3 linked regions of the Xenopus tropicalis genome follow. The main gene of each other region encodes a partner of the protein of the gene in region 2 in a complex. Links are inferred from orthologs where the notes say so. Each region holds a gene or a part of one and is shown on either strand. Other genes may lie near its edges. The genes, in order: ppp1r8, ttf2 and akap17a.

The links.
Region 1: ttf2 (region 2) and ppp1r8 share a complex: the UniProt entries of both Homo sapiens proteins name them as parts of the spliceosome. The link is inferred for Xenopus tropicalis from reciprocal best matches to the Homo sapiens genes TTF2 and PPP1R8.
Region 3: ttf2 (region 2) and akap17a share a complex: the UniProt entries of both Homo sapiens proteins name them as parts of the spliceosome. The link is inferred for Xenopus tropicalis from reciprocal best matches to the Homo sapiens genes TTF2 and AKAP17A.

What each region holds. Positions count from the first base shown.
Region 1 is NC_030678.2:79,501,860-79,504,846, reverse strand, and holds part of ppp1r8 (nuclear inhibitor of protein phosphatase 1), read left to right. Parts: intron 1-1,576; coding exon 1,577-1,924; 3' UTR 1,925-2,090; exon of another isoform or gene 2,091-2,987. UniProt on the Homo sapiens protein: Inhibitor subunit of the major nuclear protein phosphatase-1 (PP-1). It has RNA-binding activity but does not cleave RNA and may target PP-1 to RNA-associated substrates. May also be involved in pre-mRNA splicing.
Region 2 is NC_030678.2:616,542-620,954, forward strand, and holds the start of ttf2 (transcription termination factor 2), read left to right. Parts: upstream 1-1,493; coding exon 1,494-1,526; intron 1,527-4,413. UniProt on the Homo sapiens protein: DsDNA-dependent ATPase which acts as a transcription termination factor by coupling ATP hydrolysis with removal of RNA polymerase II from the DNA template. May contribute to mitotic transcription repression. May also be involved in pre-mRNA splicing.
Region 3 is NC_030678.2:38,922,343-38,926,541, reverse strand, and holds the start of akap17a (A-kinase anchor protein 17A), read right to left. Parts: upstream 2,844-4,199; 5' UTR 2,726-2,843; intron 955-2,725; 5' UTR 942-954; coding exon 180-941; intron 1-179. UniProt on the Homo sapiens protein: Splice factor regulating alternative splice site selection for certain mRNA precursors. Mediates regulation of pre-mRNA splicing in a PKA-dependent manner.

The sequences.
Region 1 (2,987 bases), about 79 Mb from region 2:
TAAAGAGTAGAAGAAAATGTAAATAATAAGTGAATCGAGGAAAACTGATAAATGTAAGAATATGCAGTAACTGTTCCGGAAACATGGTATGTGAAGTAATAAAAGTAGTGCAGAAGGAAAAGTTTTAAAAATATTTAGAACCGAGCAAGGGCAGTTTCTCAGATTTTATTCCTGAACAGTAGAACCTACATGTGGGTGAGAGGGAGGATGTCCTTATTTTTTTGATACATAAATGTGGGCCCCTCCAACATGCAACCACAAGGGTTTAGCTGTGACTGCAGCACCAGAATGCAGCTCTGCAACTGGCTGACCGCTACTGGGTAAAAAGTGACAAGGGGGGAGGGTGAGGATTTCCCCTTTAGCAGATGTTTTGTGACATAAGGCAGCAGACTTAGCAAAAACAAAACTTACACTTGAAAGAAACCAATTAAACTTGAATTCAAATATACATGACAATTTAGATTATTTACTTTTCACAGAAAACTGCTGTCTACACTCTACTAAAGTACTTTTTAAGATGACCTCTCTATTTAAGACGCTTTTGTTAATACTAGTTTCAGTGTAGAAGTGCAGTTATTACTTAAAGGCTTCCATGTACTGTATGAGAGACCATGTTTATAAGCACTTACACAAGTAGGGTTTATCTTGATGAAAGTGTCTTATTTAATAGCATTGATGTAATACATGCATTTGTATTTAGGCCTGTGTTCACATGAGCGCATTATTGGGCCCTTTTGCTCACGCTTCTGCCTGTTGGCGCATGACAAACATACAGCAGTTCCACACTAACTATGCAAGGGTGTCTAAGTACAGTATAACACTAATTTTACATTTTTCCAGAGTTAATTTAGGGAAAGCTTAAAATGCAGTACATGGCGGCACACTGACCATAAGCAATGAGATATAGGCAAAGTAGTAACTATTTTATCTGTTTTGGTGTAATGTAATAAACAGTCTAAGTTTGCTACTTGTCTAGTAACCCGTACCATTAACTGGTCAACAAAATGGAGTCCATACCTGAAATTTGCACTTAAATTTATTAAAGAAATCCTAGGCTAATTGTGTGGATTAAATTGTACTGTCTTAGAAACCCGTGAGGAGAGAAATAATATCTAAGTAACCAAGCATCTGCATGATGATGTACTGTGGTTTAAGTATGTTTTGATTACGTGTGTAATACACTTTGTCATGTTACTAACAAACTTTGAGAAAAAAAACCCAGAGCTATGACACTGTCAAGAAAGAATAGTTATCTGAAAGACAACTTTTCATTTTGCACATGGAATTGTTGGGCCATTTCCATAAACATTCTGAGAATCTGTAAAATTCATCCCTTGTACTGCATACTGATGTATTATCTGCATCAAGGAAAGATCAAATATTGATCAGATTCAGACACTTAATTGTTAATATAATTAAGTGTCTGAATCACAGATTTGTATATTTTTCCATTATCTGCTACTTGTCAGCCATGTGAATACATTAGGTATAGAATGTTTATTTACATTTAACTACTAAGGGAATGTCTTGTTATATTGTTCTGAAAACCATAATTCCCTTTCCTTTTTCACAACAGAAAAAGAAAACCGAAATTCCTGGTTCCCTCAGTCTAGAAGATTCAGTGGGACGGCGTGTCCAGAACTTCCCGTTTACTGGAGGCCTCTATGGTGGGCTTCCTCCTACGCATGCTGAAGGTGGCGCACAGACAGCTGGAGGCCATGGCACAGCCCTGATGGGCGGCATGCCCTTCCCTAATCTTGCGCCAGAGGTGGATCTTGCACCTACCACTGCTACTGTAGCTCCCATAACTGTTGCCCCTGCTCCATCCAGCTTTACTGCTGAAGCTGTTAATGAACCCAAGAAAAAGAAGTATGCCAAGGAGGCCTGGCCAGGGAAGAAACCCACTCCATCATTGCTCATCTAAGATGACTGCTATAACACATGTAGGGAGATACTGGGACAATAAGCCAACACTTTGTTTTTCAGGTGTCTGCCAGAAAGAAGGAAACTGGCACATTTTTTAGCCAGGTTATCATTGTCATGTATGGTCCTTTTTGCTTTAGTTGTATGAAAAGAAATCAGTCAACATAGGGATGTCTTAAAATCCACTCTTGATAATGAACCAACCTCAATTTTTACTGAACATAAATGTTTCACTGGTAAGAAAAACTCCTCCAGAAAAATGACGAGTTCATGCACGCTAAATCAATATATCAGTCACATAGAGGCAGCAGTGATGGGAAAAATATATTACTGACAAAGGGGAATAGAATCAATGTGTTTTATGTTGGCCACCTATATACAGTGTATAGAAATCTGCATGCAACTGTACAGCTTTAGAGATATTTTTATATGTAATATGTGAATTCTATACATTTATGTAAACTTTTCCTCTTGCTTTGTTTTATTTGACTGTGTGTGTGTGTAAATGGGTGAAAGCTAACTCACATTAATTTTCTTTTTATTTGCCCATGCTACTATGCAGTGGCCGCCAGTCAGGGTTACATTTACCAGCAAGAAGATAGTGTATCTCATAAATTCAGTACCTAATCCTCCACCTATTCCATATTCGAATGCAGAGGAGAATGTTTATTTAAAACCAGAATACTCATCAAGCAGACAGTAGAATTCACCAGTAGCTAAAAATAAGAGGATGTTGCTCTATAATCAGGTAGCAGAAGTAGTAAAGTTTTTGTATTTAACATCAGTCTAATGTTAATGGTGTAATTCCTTCTTAACACTACTTTGATTGGTTCTCCCCATGTAGAAAAGAAGGTGCATTGCTGTATAGTGGTGTAACTACTGAGGGAGCAGCGATTGCAAGTGCACCCCCTCCCAATAGGTTTCTTGCATGCACTATATGGAGATCTGTGGTTCCCTCATTATGTGCCTGGTGCTGTATCTAGGATGAAAAAACCTTCAGAAAGAGAACTGTGCTTTTCAGTTTGCTAGTAAACTGCATATATTGCAGCACAGAAATAGGATCC
Region 2 (4,413 bases):
GTACACTCACATACGTAACAAAGTCCCCATACACGCGTGTAACTACATATTCCCCATAGAAACCAGCAGGTAGCGCACCTATTCACCATGTGACCTGTTTAAACACTGCCTCTTACTTTGCTGGTTTCTACAAGAGGTTACATTTCCTTTGTGGGCAAAGTTTGTGCTTTTTTTTTAATTTCACAGGGGCTATACCTGTTATTGGGGCTTGCACACAAAGGTGGTTCATACATACCTTGCCTCTAGTCAGCTAAATACACGGCAGGGTAAACTGTCTAGACATCTGGCAGCAACCACGTAGCTATTAGCGGGAAAGATCAATCTTTATTAGAAGGGATTTCAGTACATCATGCTTTTCTCTCTTTATATTTTTTAATTTTTTAGTCTCTCTCTCCTTTCTGTACCCTGTTCCATAGATCCGGAGTTGAGCTGCTATGCGTTGCACTGAACCAACTCAGACTGGTACATGCGGTGCACGCATGCACCAGGTACAGCGGATCTTTACGGGCATTTAAGACCCGTGTTTCAAGCACACCTAATGCAGCAGCTAATACTTTTTGCAAGTACCTGTTCCCACAACTACTGTTTTTTTGCCGGAAAATTGCGTCACTTAATAACCAACACCATATCAATCCAATACTACGTGCTGTGCTGTTGTACACATATAGAGATATACCACCCATCATTATAATGTGCCCGAATGGTGCTCATACAAACCGTTATCTATACATAATACACCCTTGTTTACAATACTGCTCAAGTTCCTTGCTTGCTGGTACGTCACACATCTCGTCCCGTCACTATTTGTCGTTTCAAGAACCCATTAACATGAAAAAATCATGAATAACTAAAAAATCCAGAATCTCTATATTTTACATCTATCTAAAGACCCCTTGCGTAGCTTGCCTACTTAAGGTCACATGTCTTAAGTAAAGAATCGCGCTACAGATATCATTCCACATGTTATACCTGCCCGTTCCACTCTATATTGCACTTCTTAACATAGGTCATAGCTTATTTTGTGATTGAGAACAAGTACAAGCATGTTTGGAAGTAAATCCCGAGATTACGCTTTTAGTATTTCTTGTCCTTTTCATTTTTCTATTATCTTTTCCCAGATCCACCAATGCAAGCTACCAATACTGCCCCTTGGACCACGGTTACAGACTTATATTACTCACCTGAGCGAATGGCAAAGAGATGCTTTTGTTCTGAGCCTAATTGAGCCTACTTCTTACCGTTCAACAGAAGGCAGCAAGTTCAGCTATTTCGTCGCACATCTTGCACCAGATAATCTTAGTATGCGACCCATCTTCGCTGTAGAGTACACTTTTACCTCGCACGGCATCACGCAAGATCTCCACTTGCACCTCTGCCAAGATAACTATTACCGAAGTATAGCTGAGAAGTAACTCAGCCATTATATGACTCTGACAAGTTGGGAAATTGGGGCCTGAATAACTATTGCAGACAGCATTTTTAACTTTGGCAAAATGTCACGCAAGAATATGGACAGTGACAGTTGCGTAAGTCACTCTATTCTTGACAACTAATAATGTTTTAAAAATTAAGGGAGTGTGCAAGACATGGCAGTGGCAGGAAGAAGAACCCGTTGTCTAAGAGCTCAGGCGAGATGTCCTCAGTGAGAGTTGGTAAATGGGATACCATACTAAGCACACCTGTCAGGTACACTTATTTTCTGACCAGGTCTTGGTAATAATGTCCTTAGACAATACTAAAGCCCAGGGGTCACTATGCTCGCTCAGTTATTACCTCATAGCTGCTTTATCAGATGTCAAATGCAGGGGGAAGCGCAAACTTTCTCAACAAATACCTCAAGAGCACTTTCAGGCATTCTATTGCTATGTCACTATTACCCAATGCACCATATACCTCTTCTGTGCAACTACCGTTGAACACTCTTCCAAATCTTACCACCCATTGAATCAATCAAACAGCTCATTCTATATGACGTCTGTTCTACTGATATATGCAACAAAGCATGAGACAAAGATCAGCACTCATTCTCTCACTGTGCACATGTTTTTACCTCTACCACCTCTGGGCATCGTCAGCTATTACGCAAAAGAAAGCTTATTCTGCCTTAGGCAATGAGAGCCTCTGATATAAGCTACGCCAAACCGCCTTAGTTTTCAGAAGGCAGCTACCATATACTAAGAGCCTCACATGTCGAGAGAAGCTGGCTTTGGTCAATATTAAACGCAAAAGAGCAGTTGTGGGTTGATCAGCAGAAGAAATACAGTAATCCCCATAAACTTCAAAACGCTAATTCCATAGGCCTCATCGGCTTATGGATGGTGCAAAAAGTTCATTGGGCAGCTGCTCGTTCTCGTGGTTTCATGGAAAATTTGTTCCTCCACGCTTCACTAGGAGGAGGATGTGCAGGATACACTGCCAGGACAGGATATGGCCAGCAGAGACATATCAGTGAAGATGAAATGACCTTCTGATGAATCGTTTAACAAAACATGAGCCAAAGATGATTCGACATGATATGAGTGAGATAATGGATCTACGGGCTCCGCTGAACTGGGATGACAATTGCTGGCCTCCCCAATACTTGAGTTTAGCTCACAATCGACACTCTGTCATCTCAGTGTAACAATAGTGGCTGTGGCCACATGCTCACGCAATAGCCTAGACACTATTTCCTTAGCCTGTTCGCAAGGACGGGACCCCCTAAACGCGCAAACTATGCCCAGCCCGTCACTATTTACCCCAATCCTGCCCCTGCCCGTCATATTACATACCATTTTTGGTCCACCAGGGACAGGCCAACTCTTGATTAGGTAAGTGTATTAGACCTGCCAAGTCCGGGTGCCTGCCGGTCACTATTACCCACAAATTATCTGCTTTTTAGCATACCTGCCCAATGTGCACTACATCTAACTTTGGAACCTCTCAACAATACTGGGCCTTGGAGAAGCGCTCTGAAAAAATGGTGTCCCTAGAGTCATAGCTCCTACCTTTACACCGGTGAGTAACGTACGCTTTGTACACGCCAGCCGTGATATTCATTTGATGAAATAGGTTCCTCTTTTATCCCAGAGTGGTGCAGCGGGAGCTGTGTACGTCATTATCACAGGAGGATCCAAAACTGAGTTTTTAGTTCAGCTTGATGGTGCTACACATCTTCAGATGATCGAAACTAGTTGTTGGTGCTACTAACCGTCCCCAAGACCATTGAATGAGCGCAGGCTCGCAGCAAGGTCTCGCTTCACTGTCAAGGGTCACTATCTATGATTCTCTTCTGAAGCATTGCAAGGAAGCAAATCGTTGTCAGCCTAATGGCAAAAAGAGCACTGGCGTCTCGCAGAAGAGGTAGAGGCATAGTTTTGCAGGCTGATGGTTTCTCAGGTTGCAGATATGACTCAGCTTTGCCGGAGCTGACCTTGGTTCCTATATCGAAGTTACAGCTTATGGATATTTCCACAATAACACCTGACAGTTCGCCCTATTGCCTATATTGATTTCCAAAGTGCTTTTCTGGTACAGTGGGCCTAGTGGTTTCACACAAAAGATTTGGAATTATATGAGAAACTGGAACAAACATTTGGTTGTGGCGGTAGTTAATATGTGCTGTGGACAAGAAAGCTGCTGTTCTCCTAGAATTGTTTTGTGATAAAATAAAGATTTAAGATTAGCTGACTTCAAAAGGCATGTCTAGTGTTGTTTTATCCAGCTATTGAATTTATCATACCAGGTTACAGGTTGTCTACATGTCTCGAGATAGTGTCCTTTTACTTAATAAATAAGTTCTGCAGTTGTGCCTTTGCATATCGTGCCTATCTGTTACATCCCGCTTTCCTAGGTGGTTAGGTGGTTTGCCCATGCAGTGTCCAATGTGCCGATAAACACCTGCAAGCTCATAAACAACAGAAGTGCACATTTAAATTGGGCTTAAGTTGTCTTTAATGCCAAAAAGCAAATTAGATTTTTTGAAAACAAAGCTTGGAGCAGCTTTTCTGAGGTATAACATATTTGTAAAAAGATAACTTTTTTTTGTATACTCATAAGCATTGTTTACCTTGTAACATTCTGTGAGCTTCATTCAGAATTGACTTTGAAATCGTTGTTATTATGTGCATTGAGGTTCAAAATTTAAAGAGTGTTAGATGCCAAAATAAATGTTATATTGTGCAGCCCTGGGGCCCCATGCCATAGTTTCAGTTTATAATAACAAAATTTTACCACATTTTCTTGCAACTATGTTTAACTCATACTTTCTCGTCGCACTGTACTATTGCTTCTACAGCCACTGTCAATAATTACCGCATGGGTGCAGCAGATAAATGACTAGCGAAAACCCCCTTGCTGCTTCAGAACACCTGCCTGCGATATATTTATCCTGCTGCTGAACTTAAATTCTTTATGTGGCTGGCAGGTCTAGCA
Region 3 (4,199 bases), about 38 Mb from region 2:
GTACACATAGATCTATAAATGGTTTCAGCCTTTTAGCAATACTAAGAATACATTGCCAGAAAGGCTTTAGTAATGTTTAATAATTTGCAGAGCAAAGCTCAAGTTGCTCAATAATTCCAAGCCTGTTCTAGAAGACCACAGAATGGATTTGCATGAAATAACGCTGCACAAAAGCACACCTTAATATTGCAGGCCACAGCTTTCCCATCTTCGCCTTTGTACATAAGTTTCATACCACGCAGTGCGTTCATGGCTTTTACAAATCCTACATATTCCTTGTATTGTACGTAGGCTTCAAAGTTCAAGTGGCCACCAAAGCTAAAAGTATGGAAACTCCTGCCTGTCATTTCCTCTCTGTAGGGATCCAGCATAGGTATGTCCACCATCCGAATTTCCCCAAACAAATTGAAAACCTTAATAAGAACATCTTCATTTGGCTTTTCTGAGCCAGAATCCTTCAACGCAAACCATTTGCAAGGCAGGCCTTCCAAATGAATTGTATCAGGTCTTTCTCCTGGAAGGCTCTCATTCATATCTTTTGCGTCACGGAAAAAAGAATCCCAGTCATGTCTGGTGGGAAAGTCTAATTTGTACTCAACCGCTCTGACTTTCAATATATCAGAGAACCCACTTAGCTTTATACTCTTCCCATCAAGAGCTGCTAGAAAAGTCTTTACTAAACTTTTGTTCTCTACTTCCCCTTCAAATCTGATGAAGTCCATGGTGCTTTTTGAAATGCGTAAGGTGGAAAATTGATGGTTGTTCACCATGCCTTTCAGACGTTCCATTACTTCCCAGTTAGATATGGACTTTCCAGGTTGCTTCAGCTGCGGTAGTGCCACGCTGATAATCATCTTTGTGATAGGCTTCAAGTAAAGCCCACAAGAGCCACACAGCTCTACAGCTTCCGATGTATCATGCACTATCGTAGCTGCAGCCATAATCTTGAAGGGGCTGTTAATATATAAAGTAGAAATGTTAGGTAATATCTGCAACTTCTTTTATTAAAATGTTGCCTTTAAAATCAAAAGACAAGCAAGTGAAATAATTTATATGTACCAAATTACACAGCACATATTCCTAATATATTAACAAGCATCCCATTTGTAAATAAAACAGACCTCAAATACTGTGTGTACTGCATACAGCTGCTACAAATGGCTGCATCCATACCAGCAAGTGAGACTGACTGTGACACCCTTGACTCAACTATGCCCCACTTACATTCACAGATGAAGGTAATTATGTACATTCACACTTATGATTATTGCTCTCTCTGCATCTCAGCAAAGGGTTCATACTGTCACTGTGATTGATTTTTAGAAAAGGTACCAGAGAAATGAGTAATTAAACGGTTACCCTACCAAACTCAATTGCTAGGTTGGTAGTTTTACATATCAGAAGGCAAAATGCAACACTGAATAATTATAACATGGTCTACAGGATATTTGAGCAATGGCAAACATGGCATCATATTTTTAGCAAGTCAATTTCCCAGACAAGATGCAGCGTAGCTGCACAGCCATCTCATTAGATTTTGAAAGAGAACTGAACCCTAAATAAGAATCTGTCTAGAAATGCTGTACTCTGTATTAAGAATTTGCTGTATGGGCCAAGAACTTTCTCACAGCTGTAACAGTAATGTTTCAGGCCTTCAGTGTTCAAAGCAGCTCCATATCATGAAATCTAGTTAGGCCATCTTTTGAGTGTCAGTGACATTGCACATGCTCAGTGTGCTCTGGGGTACTGCAGAGAAGCTAAGCTTAGGGTTCAACTCAATTCATAAAAACATTACAGAAAATAAGTTCACATCTGTTACAGAGGCTGATGCTACAGGGCTAACGCCAATTCTGCTGCACTGATTTCTGCGCTGCCATATACTGTGATCTGGGATATAATACCTGAATGTGCTGCCATATACTGTGAATTTGGATATAATACCTGAATGTGTTGCCATATACTGTGAATTTGGATATAATACCTGAATGTGCTGCCATATACTGTGATCTTGGATATAATACCTGAATGTGCTGCCATATACTGTGAATTTGGATATACGGTAATACCTGAATGTGCTGCCATATACTGTGAATTTGGATATAATACCTGAATGTGCTGCCATATACTGTGAATGGGATATAATACCTGAATGTGCTGCCATATACTGTGAATTTGGATATAATACCTGAATGTGCTGCCATATACTGTGATATGGGATATAATACCTGAATGTGCTGCCATATACTGTGAATTTGGATATAATAGCTGAATGTGCTGCCATATACTGTGAATTTGGATATAATACCTGAATGTGCTGCCATATACTGTGATCTTGGATATAATACCTGAATGTGCTGCCATATACTGCGAATTTGGATATAACACCTGAATGTGCTGCCATATACTGTGAATTTGGATATAATACCTGAATGTGCTGCCATATACTGTGAATTTGGATATAATACCTGCACTGTATTGTGCATTGTCACTAAACTCGGGTATCTGACCAGCAGCAAAATATGGGGAGCATTTTCAGAGGCATAAAGTCTTTCTAGCAGGTACACAAAACAAAATGAACTGTAGCATTCCTAGTCTAATTCATTGTTGAGGTTCAGTTCCCCTCAAACAAACCAGCAAGCGGAAGGCTTTGCGTGTGACATCCCGTATTGTTGTTTTCCCTACGCGCATGAATCCCAAGGAGAGGTAGTACAGGGCAGGTGCATACCGCTCTCCCGCTTTCCGTAACACAACCCGGAGTCCCAGACGGCTGCTTAAACGTCCCGAAACGCCATTAGCGCCCTACTCTCTAGATCCTGCCGTACAGCCAACTCCAACGTTCCGCCGCTCATCTCGCGAGACTATGATGTCACGGAGCCACGCAGAGCAGCGCAGTGACGCTAAATCCTTCCGCCGTGAGGCTCTGTCGTGCAAGGTGTCACGCAATCATGTCTGTGGGGGCTGCAGCAGGTCCCACTGCCCGCATTTCCTGAATTAGAGTGGGCTTCAGCTCCCAATATTTGGCCATTCATTGCTTTCTTCACTTTCTCTCCTCCTTACACATTTTAGAAATTACACCTGTGCCAGGAACAAAAAAACCTCCTCCTCAGGGTGGGGGAGCATATTTTTCACACTACATGGTCAGAACAAGGGTAAAACGGAAGTTGTATTTTACTCTTCCTTTATACTTTTATAAACTTGGAATTGTGCAGGTTCCTTCCCTAAGAAAGTTCTGGAACCCAAAAGAACATTGGCAGGGAGTTCCCAAACAAAATGAGACCCATTTCTTTGCTGCTTGCCAGCAATACCCACTACCACTGGTGCCTCTGCTCCCAAAAAATAGTAATTCATGTTCAAATTAAGGCAAAGTGAAATGAAGTAATCTATTTTTCTGAGCTTTTTGTGCAAATGAGGCAGATGTTTCACAGATTAGGGACAAAAGGGCTAATTTAGCAGAATACAACGAAAAGTTAACAAGGTTTTAGGCTCTTTTGTTTTATCCTTGGCTGAAACAGAAAGGCAGGAGCCTCTGCCATAAAAAAAAAATGTGCCAGTGAATTATACTCCTCTAAATATAGAAAGGTTGTGCTTAAAAAGTTGTGCTTGAACTGATTTATTGAGAAATTCCACCTAAACCCCACTAGTATGGGCCATCTGTCCCACTTCCTGCTGGGTGAATTCTCTGGATGTGCAGGGGAGCCACAGGCTCTCAGTACAGATACTGTAGTAAAGGGACCAATCAGCAGCTAGGCTGACCTGATAGGGAACTGAAGCCTGTCTTTGCTTGTGTGAGTGCAGGGCTGTGATTGGCTATCCCCCTCCTACTGTGCTTCTGGCAGGGACCGTTAGGACACGCCCACTCTTCATTTCAAACTCGGACAGAGAACTGATAGGATCTATAGGGAGCTCCAATAAAGGGGCCATTTTTACAGACTGTATTTAATTTTAGCCCAAAGTGAAACCAGCACCATATATTATTCATAATTGCCTACAAAATAAGGGTTTTTCCATTTATCCAATGAGTGTGTAGGGACAGAGGCAGCAGGGAATGTGTGATTTTAGAAGAAGAGAGAAGGGGTGGCACTCGGGTTCAACTTGCATAGATGTTGGTTTGCCTTAGGGCTAAACTACATGGGAGATTTTGTAGAATGGTACAAGTTGGATGTAGATGCATGGGTCAAACTAATCAGAATGATAGAAAA